2 linked regions of the Arabidopsis thaliana genome follow. The protein of the gene in region 2 purifies or fractionates together with the protein of the main gene of each other region. This does not show direct contact. Each region holds a gene or a part of one and is shown on either strand. Other genes may lie near its edges.

Region 1 (7,505 bases), on a different chromosome or scaffold from region 2:
TAGATGAAATTTTGTGTTTTTCTGCAAGTTAGTGTTTTTTTATCTGCTTATGGGTTGAATTTCACCAGTAATTTGCCTTGTTTAGACTGTGCAATTGGAGTTTGAGGCTTTGTCATTTTAAAATATTAACTGGGCTCTTGTATATAATCGCTGCAGATACAGCAGATTTGTTTCAGGACTTGTCTTTAGGTTCAGATGCAAATGAAGTTCCTATGAACTTTACTAAGGTACTTAATTACTACTTCTTTTTGAAAATTTAAAGTTTTTGGAACTTAAATTGTGTTGTGTCGAAGGATCTTTAACTACAAACTGTTCTGTGGAGAGGTCTTGCTGCTCATTTAATGTGAATTTGATATACTGTGAGTTTTTTTTTTGTTAACTGACTGTTTTCTGAGAAGGGTTCTTTTCAGCATCCGTATGGTCATGCACCTTATGGTGCATCTTCTCATGGAAGTGAAAGAAGGCCAAACATGAATGCTGGCAATCTGCTAAATGGTGGAGACTCGATTGGTTCATACCCGTGGGGTTACATCCCAGCAAACTATCCTTCTGGTGGCTACCCTGATCCGAGGTTTGGTTATGACCGCAACAGCAATCACAGTTCCTTTTCACATCTCATGGTATGTTGGTTACTTCACATGACCTCTCTGCCTCTTTTCTGTCTTCATATAGTCAAGAGAATGTGTGTTTTGTTCTCTTCGTCATCTCTGCTGGGACTTGGGATTTTTTTTTTGTCTAATTACTGGCTACAACTGTTTTATTTAACAGAATCCACACAGCTCACAAGAAGTACCAAGTTTTGACCAATTGGGATATAATGATCATTTGTATTCCAACCATGGATTGTATGGACTTTACGGGAATGTAATTGACTCTGGTCATGCATATGGAACTTTTGGTTATGATTCCTGGAAACTTGGGCGAGGATGGTATCCCGTTGATGGTTATAGAAAGACCAGAAGCTTCAATCATGGGCGTGGTTACAGTGATGAGAAAGCAGATAGGCTTAATGAGCTATGTCGAGGACCAAGGAGTAGTGATTTCAAGAATCCACAAGTTCTTAACTCTTCAATGCTAGATGCAATGAAGCAAGACGTTTCAGCAGTAGATCTCCAGCGCTACAATGGGGAGAATTTCCCTGAATCATTTGTGAAAGCAAAATTCTTTGTGATCAAGTCATACAGCGAAGATGATGTTCATAACTGTATTAAGTATGGTGCATGGTCGAGCACACCAACTGGCAACAAGAAGTTGAATGCTGCATATTATGAAGCCAAAGAAAACTCCCAAGAATGCCCTGTGTATCTTCTGTTCTCGGTCAGTATGAGGTTACTTCACGTCTTGTGCAATATCCTTTCAGATTTACATTAAGTAACTCACTGTAATCGGTTTTATCTACAGGTGAATGCAAGTGGGCAATTTGTTGGTCTTGCGGAGATGGTAGGCCCTGTTGATTTCAACAAGACAATGGAGTATTGGCAGCAAGATAAATGGATTGGTTGTTTCCCTGTGAAGTGGCATATCATCAAAGACATACCAAACAGTCTCTTAAGACACATTACCCTGGCGAATAACGAGAACAAGCCTGTCACTAATAGCAGAGACACTCAAGAGGTCCGTTGAACTTCCCCTAAACCCTTTCTTGGACATGTTTGAAGCCTAATTGAATTCTAATAAATAATGATTATGGCTGTTAGTCAGGCTTTTAAACTGTACGGTGATGGTTTTGGTACAGGTGAATCTGGAGCATGGGACCAAGATCATAAAGATCTTCAAGGAGTATATGAGCAAGACATGTATACTTGATGATTACAAGTTCTATGAGACAAGGCAGAAGATCATCAGAGACAAGAAGATCAAGCAAAAGAAACAGGTACAATTCCTTAAACCCTGCTGCATCTAAAGCACATTAACCACCCCTCTTGATACAGTCTCTGGGATTGTTTCATTTTGATTGTTTTGTTATATTAGGCCCTTGATGGAGCTTCGGGGGAAACAATTAACTTGAGTTGAAAGATGGAATCAATGCAAGGAAAGAAGAAGATGACTTAATTAAAAGAACTTAGTTTTGAATTATGTTTTTTCTTCAGGGTTGGGATTTCTAAAAACCTAATACACATCTTTAATCTGTGTGTTTTCTCTGCTTATCTAAACAAAACTTACATTGTCTTTTGTTCCTCTTAAGGGGACGCACATCTGATAAAACAAAAACTCAGGCTTTCCTTCAAAGTTCATATCATGTTATTTTCAAGTTATTTCTCTTTTAGTCCCTAAACTTTCATATAATAAGACTCTCATCCGTAAATGTCAAAAATCTCACATTTTGGCCCACATCACCATAAAAGTTAAAACGACACCGTTTAGCACAAAAACCAGAAGGAATGGTGTTCTCTATTCGTCCCTAAACTTTCATATAATACAACTTTCACCCCTAAAGATTTAAGATCTCAATTTTTGGCCCCCATCCCCTTAAAATTTAAAACGACACCGTTGTGAACTCCCATTTTAAAACCTCGAAAGTTTTCTAGGGCAATCTCGGCCACTTTTACTCACAGAAAACCTTCTCTCTAAACTTCTTCGAAAATCTCACAGAGCTTCTTCTTCTTCGCTTTTAGGGTTTTTGCTCTATTGTTTCGAGTGACCCAACTTCGAAGCTTATAGATCGTTACCTTAGAAAATGGTGGGTATGTCGATGCAGCCATATGGTATTCAATCGATGCTTAAAGAAGGTTACAGGCATCTCTCTGGTCTCGACGAAGCCGTCATTAAGAACATTGAAGCTTGCAAGGAGCTCTCCACCATTACTCGCACCTCTCTCGGTCCCAATGGTTCGTAATGTTTCTCTGATTGGGATTTGATCTAATACTGAAATGATGAATCTCGTTTTCTCCGTTTCGTTTTACTTTTACTTGAGTGTTGTAAGTAGGATCTCGCTTGTGTATAGTTTAAGCAAGCTTGATCTGTTACTGTAAAGGTGAAGTCTTTTTCTAGGGATTCAGATTCGGATTAGAACTGAGTTCTTCTGTTTATAATGTTTCAGGAATGAATAAAATGGTTATCAATCATTTGGACAAACTGTTTGTCACAAATGACGCTGCTACTATAGTGAATGAGCTCGAGATTCAGCACCCGGCTGCTAAACTTCTGGTTTTAGCTGCTAAGGCTCAGCAAGAAGAAATCGGAGATGGAGCTAATCTGACAATCTCCTTTGCTGGTGAACTTCTTCAAAACGCTGAGGAGCTTATCAGGATGGGACTTCATCCGAGTGAGATCATTAGTGGATATACTAAAGCTGTCAGCAAGGTTGGTGAATACCTGAATTACTGTTTTGTGCTTTTCAATTTGTTTGTCTTGAGTATTTGACGAATGCTATTGGATTTTGATTATGCAGGCTGTTGAAATACTGGAACAACTGGTTGAGACTGGTTCTGAGACCATGGATGTACGTAACAAGGATGAAGTTATTTCTCGGATGAGAGCAGCTGTTGCAAGCAAGCAGTTTGGGCAAGAGGAAATAATTTGCTCTTTAGTTACTGACGTAAGATATTCCTTGCTATCTATTTGTTTCCTGTTTCGTTGTTCAGATTGTTATTTATTCAAGTTTATTGCAGATTTAGATTTTACTTGATGGGTTCATATTATTTCTAGGCATGTATTCAAGTCTGCCCAAAGAATCCAACGAATTTCAATGTGGATAATGTTCGTGTTTCCAAGCTTTTGGGAGGAGGCTTGCACAATTCTTGCATAGTCCGTGGTATGGTCTTGAAAAGTGATGCTGTTGGTAGCATTAAGCGAATGGAGAAAGCGAAGGTGAGATCTCTTTCTTTTGTTTATGCTTTTGACAAAGTTTTTTTTGTCTGAATTGATCAATGTTTGGGTCCCCTATGAAATATAGCTTTGTGGGTTTGTCTTTTCTGTTTTTGATAGCTTAATGTCTCTAAATCAATTTGTTATGCTTTCTTCAGGTTGCTGTATTTGCTGGTGGCGTTGATACCACTGCAACAGAGACCAAAGGAACTGTCCTCATTCATAGTGCTGAGCAGGTTAGATTTGTTACTGTCTTTCTAAAATTTCAAAATTACGATTATGGCTTCCTCAAAGATGGTTGTGTATTTGTAATCGTTATTGTGACAAATTTCTCTTTTTATATTGGATTTGTAGCTAGAGAACTATGCAAAGACAGAGGAAGCTAAAGTTGAGGAGTTGATTAAAGCAGTTGCGGAATCAGGAGCCAAAGTCATTGTTAGTGGAGGATCAATTGGAGAAATGGCATTGCATTTCTGTGAGCGCTACAAGTATGTGTAGACCATATCATGTTATACTCGTCTTAGCTATTGTTATTGTCTGCATTCTGATACCCCATTTTTTCTTGGCAGGATAATGGTATTGAAAATCAGCTCAAAGTTTGAACTGAGGCGTTTTTGCCGTACAGCGGGGGCTGTCGCCCATGTAAGTGTTATTAATTGGCTATCTGAATGAGTATCTAAGGGTGGTTTTATCCTAGCTTTTAATCCTTTAATTATCAAACAGTTGAAGCTTAGCCGGCCAAGCCCTGAAGATCTTGGATATGTTGATTCTATATCGGTTGAGGAAATTGGTGGTGTGACAGTAAGTACTCCGAAGTCAATTCCAATATTTTTGGTTAATTATTTTTGTCTTTCATTAATCATAGACAATTCTCGGTCTTCTTTTAGGTCACGATTGCAAGAAACGAGGAAGGTGGTAACTCCATCTCCACTGTGGTCTTGCGTGGAAGCACAGATAGCATTTTGGACGACCTTGAGAGAGCTGTTGATGATGGAGTTAACACATACAAGGTAATATCTAGCTTCATTTGTACCATCTATATCGTATAATTCATTAATTTGTGACTGTTATTACTTCAATTTTATTTTCAGGCCATGTGCAGAGACAGCCGTATTGTTCCCGGGGCTGCAGCGACTGAAATAGAGTTGGCTCAAAGGTTGAAGGAATACGCCAATGCAGAAATAGGGTAACTTTCTTTTACTTCATTTTTTCAAAAATTAAACATGTGAGGCTAGCTTTTAAAGCAAAACTGTCTATGGTTTGGGGACTGAACTTAGGATTCGCTTTTGAAATTTCAGGTTGGACAAATATGCCATCACCAAATACGCTGAGAGTTTTGAGTTTGTACCCAAGACCCTTGCAGATAATGCTGGCCTCAATGCGATGGAAATCATAGCCGCTCTGTACACTGGACATGGATCTGGAAACACAAAACTAGGCATTGACTTAGAGGAAGGTGCTTGTAAAGATGTTTCAGAGACAAAAGTATGGGATCTTTTTGCAACCAAGTAAGTTTCAGACTGTCTTTTTGCCATCAAATATTTCTATCAGACGTCTCTATACTTGCTTAGCAGTTGTTCTTGAACATATAAAAACTGGAGTAGAATTTTCTGACTGGTTACAAAGATTACCATTCACTTTAATTGATAACTAAGACGCTTAAGTCTCTGTGCAGGTTATTTGCCCTTAAATATGCTTCAGATGCTGCATGCACTGTACTTCGTGTAGACCAGGTATGCACAAACTGACTTGATTTAATCTTTGGTGAACGGAGCAATTTTTTATTATATTGTAAAGTGTTGATTCATCACATGAAGTAAAAAGATATTGTTCGGTGAATGCATTATCTTCCAGGATTAAGTCCCTTGTTCGTGAAAACTCTTAGATTCAATATTCAGTTCCACTGATTGATCTCATCTACTAAAACATGCATGTTTATACTCAAAATTTATGTAAAATGTGCAGATTATAATGGCGAAACCAGCAGGTGGACCAAGGAGAGATGCAGCTCAAGCTGCAGGTGCTGGTGCGGAGGAAGACTAAGCCGGAGAACAAATACCTCGTAGTGAAACTCTCTTCTTTTGTAACCTTCTGTTCCTGAAAGTCTGAGAAAATTTTGGTATGTCTCAGTTTAAGATTTGTGATCTTTGTAACGCACCACCAACTTAAGTGTTTTGCCTTCTTTTTCTGTTTTGCCTTGTTTTGGCTCGTCTCAACACTCAGATTTTCCGGTTTAGCTAGTGAAATTATTACTAGGATTTTTGGCTTAACTCTGTATTAATGTCAATTTGGTTTCTATTTGAATCGACTTTTGAACAAGTGACAAAATCATTCGGGGAAAAGAAAATGATCCACACATTGACAAAAGAACAAGAGAACCTAACTAGAAATTGAACCTATGTAAATATGTCTGGTTAACAGTTGTTTCGACTTTTGAACAAGTGACAAATTCATTAGGAAAAAGAAAACAAACAAACTAGTATTTGAACATGATCCACACATTGACAAAAGAACAAGAGAACTAAGCTAGAATTTGAACCTATGTAAGTTCTAAGCTTTTTAATGTTCATCCCTTAGACTTTTTAAGTCGGAACAAGATGAGGAGGCATCATATCATCCTGGAGATACATCCACATGAAAGAAGCAAACCCTGCAACTGCAATAGAGAAGACACTCAATCCCAATTTTAACACACCCTTGCTCCGTCCCAGACGTGGGTCTAGTTCAGTCTCCACTGTCTTAAGTTTGGCCTCAGAATCCAAATCTGTTTTTGGTTTCTCACAGATATCTTCTGTTGTGTTGGTTGGAGTTGTAGTACCAGAGGTATCATATATTGATGATGATGACGAGGTTTCACTGTACTGTAGCAGCTGCTGTCTGTTATCTAGTAACTCAGTGAATGGATCTTGTGCGAAACCATGCCTGTGATGTTTTGAACAAATGTCTCCTGATTGTCTCTTCTTGGTGTTTCGTCTTGAACTTCTTGAGCGGTTGGTCCTAGAGCACACAGATTCATTAAACTCGGAGCTTCTGTTCCGCTGATGGAACCAAACTGACTCAATGTTGCCATTTTCAACACCAGAACATTGAATCTGAAATCAAAGAAGCACCACAATGAAACTTCACTGAAAAAGGACACACAAGAGACAGCTTTAAAGTTTGTAGTCTTTTTTACCTGATCTCCAATTCTTGGACTCTCGATAACAAAACCAGTTTCTTGGTTATTGTCTCCGAAAGTCACCAGAGGAGAGCCTGAGACAAGAGTTCTTCCACTGGCTACACCAGAAAACAAAACATCATACTCGTCTTGATCGTTTACATAACTCCTATCTTGTCTACTATAGACACTCCCATCATGTTCTCGCAGACTTGATGTAGACTTGACTGATCCGCTGAGCGAGTTTCGGGGCTTGCAGTTCTCTGCATCAAACATCGGATCTGCCTCACATATTAATCTCTCTGCTTGTCTCATGGTTTCATGAGCTGCCATTTTGACATAATGCTGATCTTTTTGGTATTTCTCCATCTCTTGATATATAAGCTCTAACTCAGAAGAAATACTCTTGGGATTCAGATTCTTCATCAGAAAGTTGAGCATCTGTATAGCTAAAAGCCGTTTCTGAGAATCTCCCTCAACAACACCTAAATCCAGAATCCTCAGACCCGACTTCACAAAAAGCCTTGCATATGCCTCGACA
Region 2 (7,137 bases):
GCAAAAATATTTATATCTAATATTTTGCTATGTTATCCTTTTTTTTTTTTACGTTATCCTAATTTTGTTTATCCTAATTTGTTGTGGTTAAAATCTTATTATTGATAAAAAGAGAACTTTTTTTTTTGTCATCATAAAAAAGAGAACTTATTACTTCGATTTTAAAATTCTATGAGCGTAGGAGACAAAGAAAAAAAAAATAAAAAAAAAAAGAAGAGAAAAATCACTTCTTTTCTTCTTTTTAGTCCAGATCCAACATATTTTGGATAACTAAATGAAGATTTTTTAAAAAAATATATTTTAGGGTATATATAAATCATAATTTGAAGCAAATGAAATAAAATCCAGTTTGGTAATATATAAATATGATTTGATGGGTTCCTTGTAATCTCTCTCTATCTATTAGTTTCTCAGTTATCTTTTCTTTGCCAGAAATGGCAGTGAAGGCAGTGGCTGAGGAGAGAGTTTTTTTTCTTCTTTCATGGGGAAAGTAAAACTTTGCCTTGAAGATTTCTCTCTTCAATATTTTTCTAAGACTTTTGATTTCAACGAATCACTGTCCTTAACCTAAAAGCAAGAAAAATTAGCTTTATACTGGTCTTTACTTTTTTTTAACATATTTATTTTTATATAGTTTACTTATAAACATAGACATACGAGTATGGGAATATATAGTATATCCAACTTCTAAATAATATTTCGAATAGTGATAACAAAATTAGCAATACATACGGCTAGTGAAATGTTGATCGAATAAACGGCACTGATGTAATGTACTTATCAATTTTGATAATTTTAATTGTATTGTTTTTCTTTTTTTCCCACAGTATTGAACTAGACAATTAAATTTAAAGTAAAATTATACATTTCTTTCGTTGTGTATTAAAGTAACATGCATAATATCATTTTCCTTCGTACAATCCTCCAAATTGACAATTGATGAATTACTTTGTCAATCGTAAATGAATTTTTCTCAAGTCTGTATACTATTTTCAGGGATAAACAGGTACAGGTGTCCCATGCTTATTCTCTTGATAGTAACATGTGTCCTATGTTGAGTCAATTCTACGTTCGAAGAAGTGCTAACAATTGTTAATAGCCTCGTATATTATTCTAATTAAAATGCCTCGATAGATTTGGTTAGTGGTCTGAATGTGATTGGTTATTTTTTCAAGTGGCAAGAGGTCTACCATCTAATATTACAATCAATCGACCAAAAAGGTCGAGAACATGATAATGGTGGCAAATACAAATGGTTCATTGTTGTCTAATATAACAAGCCATCAGTTGTCACTTTTTAAAAACAATACAGAATACAAGATACTTTTTTTTTAAGGTAAAATGTGTGTTTAATATTTTCGTTTATATAACAAATAAACAGTTACATGTTTTACTCTATGATTATATTTATGACATTTTTCTTCTTCTTAACAACATTTTTTTCCCATAAGAACATTTACAATAGTATTAAAACTTTGATTGCAATCAAATGTTAGATCACTTATTATAAAATTACTAAGACTGCTATCTTTTCCTATTGACAAAAGCGAATCCAATATATGTTACTGAAACAAATGCGTAAATTATACTATATGGAGATCTATCGGTTAATTATTGAGAGAATCTAAGAAAGTTTTTGAGTACAACAGTCCTAATAATATCTTCACATACCATATAATATACATATATACATATACACAAATGTACTTTTTAAACCAACATCAGCATACGTATATCCCATCAGGAAACTTAGACTTTTGGGAATTCATGGTATGAAAACCAAAACCAAATGACAACATTCGATTTGATACTCCCGACCCATGGTAAAGAAATAACAAATTCCAATATATCTTTCACTGGACTTTCCGAGGCACATTCCGGTTTTCTCCATTTCAAGAAATTGTCAAAAATAAATTGAGATCCGGTTTATTACCTCAAAAAAGAAGAAGAGAAATTACAACATTAATTTCCGAAAAGGCATAAATGAGAAATCATATTTCAGCAGAAGAACACAAAAGAGTTAAGAACCCACAGATCACACAACCTCTGTCCATGTCTGCTTTTTACACTTTTTTAAAATAAGTTTCTCCTAAAAAGTTATTTCCTATTTATAATAATTTCCTTAGATTTATCTTCCTGGTCTCTCTTCTGCTGCTTCCCTCTCCCCCATAACTATCACTATTTAGAATTTTCAATGTGGAAAAGGAAGCTGATTGTTGAAGCATAAATCCCGGGAGACCACTTTTGCATTTTCAAATAATTAAATTAAACCATAGATACACACACACAGTTACTTACTCTTTTAGGGTTTCCCAATAAATTTATAGTACTTTAATGTGTTTCATGATATTGATGATAAATGCTAGCTGTATTTACAATGGGGGCTCCTCTTTTTTTTTCTTTATGTTATTTTCATTTTTTATTTCTCATAGCTATATAGCAAAGCCAAAGTGAATAATAATACTAGTGAGAGAAAGAGAAGATGGAGAGTGGTTCCAACAGCACTTCTTGTCCAATGGCTTTTGCCGGGGATAATAGTGATGGTCCGATGTGTCCTATGATGATGATGATGCCGCCCATCATGACATCACATCAACATCATGGTCATGATCATCAACATCAACAACAAGAACATGATGGTTATGCATATCAGTCACACCACCAACAAAGTAGTTCCCTTTTTCTTCAATCACTAGCTCCTCCCCAAGGAACTAAGAACAAAGTTGCTTCTTCTTCTTCTCCTTCCTCTTGTGCTCCTGCCTATTCTCTAATGGAGATCCATCATAACGAAATCGTTGCAGGAGGAATCAACCCTTGCTCCTCTTCCTCTTCTTCAGCCTCTGTCAAGGCCAAGATCATGGCTCATCCTCACTACCACCGCCTCTTGGCCGCTTATGTCAATTGTCAGAAGGTGATGAGAGAAAGAAACTTGAAAAAATTACTTTGAAAGTTTCTTCGTAACTCTAATGATTCTTATTTGATTTTCTTGCACAAAAAAGAAGAGAAAGATTCTAGAAACCCTAATTACCAAACTTTACCTTTTATTTCCTTTTTACATAACCCTTTACTTGATGTCTGAGTTTGATTTTGATATCTACTTTTGTTTACTAGTTACTTAACCCAGCTAAGTATATACAAATCAAAGGATACAATTTTTCCTATATTGAGAAAGTTTCAAGAAACAATTTGTAAAAACCCTACTTGCAAGAGATTATCCAAAATATTGTATGTAGGCTTGAAGATTAGGACATATATAATTATTTCATTTTTTTCTTTACTATATTATATATCCACAATAAACGTGAGGATCCTTATCTTAGTTCAATTAACGTTTTTATGTCTATCATTTACTAATTACACAATTTCTTAAGGTTGGAGCACCACCGGAGGTTGTGGCGAGGCTAGAGGAGGCATGCTCGTCTGCCGCAGCCGCTGCCGCATCTATGGGACCAACAGGATGTCTAGGTGAAGATCCAGGGCTTGATCAATTCATGGAAGCTTACTGTGAAATGCTCGTTAAGTATGAGCAAGAGCTCTCCAAACCTTTCAAGGAAGCTATGGTCTTCCTTCAACGTGTCGAGTGTCAATTCAAATCCCTCTCTCTATCCTCACCTTCCTCTTTCTCCGGTTACTCTCTCCTCTCTCTCTAGTTCTCTGTTTTTTTTTCTTTCTTTTTAATTCATATTCTTGTTAATTATGGCGTCAAATTAAACGTAAGATGAGGAAAGTTGTTTTTTTTCTTTGTGGGTTTTAAGAAAGATTTTCCTTTTTCTGATTTTTCTTGGGTAAATACCCCTTTGATGGTTGTTACTAGGGTTAGTGTCAGATTGTTATATATAGCTTACTAGGTTTACGTGTATAATCTATCTATACATAAGTTAGTGTATGTAGTTGTTTTCATTGAATTAAAACAGTTTGTTTACTGTTTTTTTGTTTTGTTTGGAATTGAATTCATTTGCTTTGGTACAACAACAATCACTGTTCTTGTCTCTTTCTTCTCCGTTTGTTTTGGATCTATTTAATTCAAATGCATCAAAAAGAATATCTGGATCTAGAGTCTGCTCGTCCTTAGATCTATTGCTCAATTTAGACATACACATGTTTTTGTACGTATAATCACATATACATATATCTACACAATGTCATATCACTCTTCTTTTCAAGAATGTAGTTAAGTTTATATAGACACACAAACTCACATCTACTTAACATGTTACTTTGAATTATTTGGATCACTAGCCTATTCTTTTTCATTTCCCTAGACACATGTTCTTGTTGACAAATTTGTCTTGCTTTCACATGTTTAATCAATATAAGGTTATGGAGAGACAGCAATTGATAGGAACAATAATGGGTCATCCGAGGAAGAAGTCGATATGAACAATGAATTTGTAGATCCACAAGCTGAGGATAGAGAGCTTAAAGGACAGCTCTTGCGCAAGTACAGTGGTTACTTAGGGAGCCTCAAGCAAGAGTTCATGAAGAAGAGGAAGAAAGGAAAGCTCCCTAAAGAAGCTCGTCAACAACTGCTTGATTGGTGGAGCCGTCACTACAAATGGCCTTACCCTTCGGTAACTCTCTTCCCTTATACTCTAATTAAATAATCATTTCATGTTTTTAAAAAAGCATTTATATGATAGCAAATTCAATTTAGTTGTCTATTAGCTTGTTTCAATGTTTTTAGTGATTTTTGCATTCATACTATATCGTTAGGGACATTAGTTTATGTTAGCTCATGTTGGCATTGCACAATATGCATTTGCATAATTTGAAATCCTAAAAGCTGAATGAAGTGAACTTATTTAGTCTATGTGTACTGTTTTGGTCTATTAGCCGATGACAAACTTGATTCTTGCTTCCATACCTTTTTTAGGGTCCGAATAATATGTCAATCTTAGTCAAGACTACGATCAATTTCATCTTATGGCTGTGTACCATAACTTAGACTAAACTTTGTTGCACATATTTCAAGTCATAACTTTGGAAAGTAGGGTGCATGAGGCCATACCCTAATGCAATAGTAGCTCATGTCTTTATTACACTTGTATAGTGTCATTACCCATGTTCGTATGAGTAGATGGATTCTAAGTTCTCCTTACAATCTAGCAAATCGTGATGTAGCTGTGATCATGGACTGACCTTATATCGGAGAGAACACTTGATGATTGATTTTTTCTCGCATGTGATATGAAATTGCAGGAGCAACAAAAGCTCGCCCTTGCGGAATCAACGGGGCTGGACCAGAAACAGATAAACAATTGGTTCATAAACCAGAGGAAACGGCATTGGAAGCCGTCGGAGGACATGCAGTTTGTAGTAATGGACGCAACACATCCTCACCATTACTTCATGGATAATGTCTTGGGCAATCCTTTCCCAATGGATCACATCTCCTCCACCATGCTTTGATCGATCCTTTAAAACGTTTATTTCATTATATTTATAATCGTTAAACAGCTTATAATATGTATAATCTATGGTTCTCGGTATACTTGGAACATATGAAACATGTTCCGATTGATGAACAAGCGTTTGATGTTGTGGTGTGTATCCTTTTGTGTTGTTCTATTGTTATGCGAAATTCCTATTCCTATTATAATGATAGTAAAGCTTTTTTGATCTATTCTTTTTATTTGACAACCTTTTTGACAATTTGGACCATTTTTTGGTTGTATGTATATCTTCCTTGCTAATTTTTAAGTATTTGCGTCGAAATTTTGTACTTTTGGGATGGAAAAGACGAAAAGAAAAGAGAGAATGCTATTACTCCAAAAGACCTAGTCTGGCCCAAACAGACCCATCACTATCCCAAAAAGACAAGATCGACCAAAACTTAATCCACTTCTAATAGTTTTGTCCCTTAAAACGCTTTCTGCTGTATGTATCTTCACAAACATATGACTTATCTTGAACCGATTCAATACAGCAGCATTTAGCATTGCTGAGAGTGATCTTTACACATATATACGCTTATAAGCTTCTCAAATTCTTCTTCATATGCTCCTCATCATCTTCAGTTTTCAATAGCCATAATTTGTTCCTACCAAAGACGAATAGTTCCAGTTTCTGCATAGCCACAATCTTCCATTTGTTTTCCCACTTGATCTAACCTGAAACTGGGACATGGTTCCTGAAGTTAGTGGATGTGCAGAACAAGAGAAACTATGGATCGAAGATACATCGGGTCAGCCTCGAGGATAATATCATCACTGACATTTTGAGCACTAACTAAACAGTCCAAACCAAGCATTGATTCAAGACATACCTCTCTATTCAAGATCGCTATCTGTTCTTGCTTCTTCATCACTATCTTCACATATATCCTCAGGAGGATCGTATACAATCATTCCAGGGAAAAGCTCCAAGAAATCATCTTTAACTTTCTCTCTCAACTCAGGATAAGGAACGAGTCCTTTCAAAATAACTCGAAAAGGCAGAGATAAAGGCCGGTCAGGAGACTCTCTCATCTCTCCATACAATCTCATTGCTTCTAAAGGAAGTTCATTATCCAAGAACCCTCGAACAAGGTCTCCAAATGTATGTTGATCAAACAAAACCTCTTCTTTCTTTAAATCTTCCCATACTTTCTTGGTTTCATCAACTTTCTTGTTTCTTGCAAGCATCATTAGCATGTCTCTGTAAAAAAACATGTCCGGTCTGTACCATATTTCTCTCCTCACTACTTCATAGAGCTGAAACATAATAAGAAGACAAACACTAAACCAAATTAAACATCAACGACAAGTGACAATACATAAACATCAACAAGCTCCATATAAACCAAACCGAAATAGTTTAACCAAACCAGTTAGGCTAATTCGATTCTGATTCAGTTTATTAGGTATCAAGCGGCAAGAGGAAGTATGAAATTCAGTAACTGGTTTGGTTCGGCATTGCCAAACCGAAATTACCAAAATTTTATCCTAAATATAACCGAATTCACAGAAATATACCAAAATTTAACCGAAGCATAAACATTAACAGTAACACCATCAACAAACTCCATAACCAAACTTAGAACTAGGCTTATAAAATCAAACCGAAATAGCTGAACCAAACCAGTTAGGCTAATTCGGTTCGGATTCGGTTTATTAGGTGAAGCCAAGCGGCAAGAGGAAGCATGAAAACCGGTTCAGG

What was found. Proteins that work in one complex are often made in the same cells at the same time.
Region 1: the proteins of STM (region 2) and AT3G03960 purify together in Arabidopsis thaliana (affinity purification with western blotting, with the first as the bait; one study listed by BioGRID). This does not show direct contact.

Annotation. Positions count from the first base shown.
Region 1 is NC_003074.8:1,021,755-1,029,259, forward strand, and holds AT3G03960 (TCP-1/cpn60 chaperonin family protein), read left to right. Parts: upstream 1-2,389; 5' UTR 2,390-2,677; coding exon 2,678-2,828; intron 2,829-3,040; coding exon 3,041-3,303; intron 3,304-3,391; coding exon 3,392-3,538; intron 3,539-3,648; coding exon 3,649-3,810; intron 3,811-3,965; coding exon 3,966-4,043; intron 4,044-4,161; coding exon 4,162-4,295; intron 4,296-4,376; coding exon 4,377-4,449; intron 4,450-4,530; coding exon 4,531-4,608; intron 4,609-4,694; coding exon 4,695-4,817; intron 4,818-4,898; coding exon 4,899-4,993; intron 4,994-5,105; coding exon 5,106-5,315; intron 5,316-5,482; coding exon 5,483-5,540; intron 5,541-5,772; coding exon 5,773-5,850; 3' UTR 5,851-6,137; downstream 6,138-7,505. Other genes in the region: ECT1 (evolutionarily conserved C-terminal region 1), read left to right, coding at 157-227, 399-620, 769-1,317, 1,402-1,614, 1,736-1,873, 1,972-2,013; AT3G03970 (ARM repeat superfamily protein), read right to left, coding at 6,390-6,899, 6,983-7,505. UniProt on the Arabidopsis thaliana protein: Molecular chaperone; assists the folding of proteins upon ATP hydrolysis. Known to play a role, in vitro, in the folding of actin and tubulin. Contributes to stem cell maintenance through its impact on transcription factors trafficking through plasmodesmata.
Region 2 is NC_003070.9:23,057,068-23,064,204, reverse strand, and holds STM (KNOX/ELK homeobox transcription factor), read left to right. Parts: upstream 1-2,141; 5' UTR 2,142-2,482; coding exon 2,483-2,911; intron 2,912-3,371; coding exon 3,372-3,627; intron 3,628-4,317; coding exon 4,318-4,571; intron 4,572-5,199; coding exon 5,200-5,409; 3' UTR 5,410-5,623; downstream 5,624-7,137. Other genes in the region: AT1G62350 (Pentatricopeptide repeat (PPR) superfamily protein), read right to left, coding at 6,270-6,692. UniProt on the Arabidopsis thaliana protein: Required for shoot apical meristem (SAM) formation during embryogenesis. Negatively regulates ASYMMETRIC LEAVES1 (AS1) and ASYMMETRIC LEAVES2 (AS2 or LBD6). Probably binds to the DNA sequence 5'-TGAC-3'. Binds to RNA.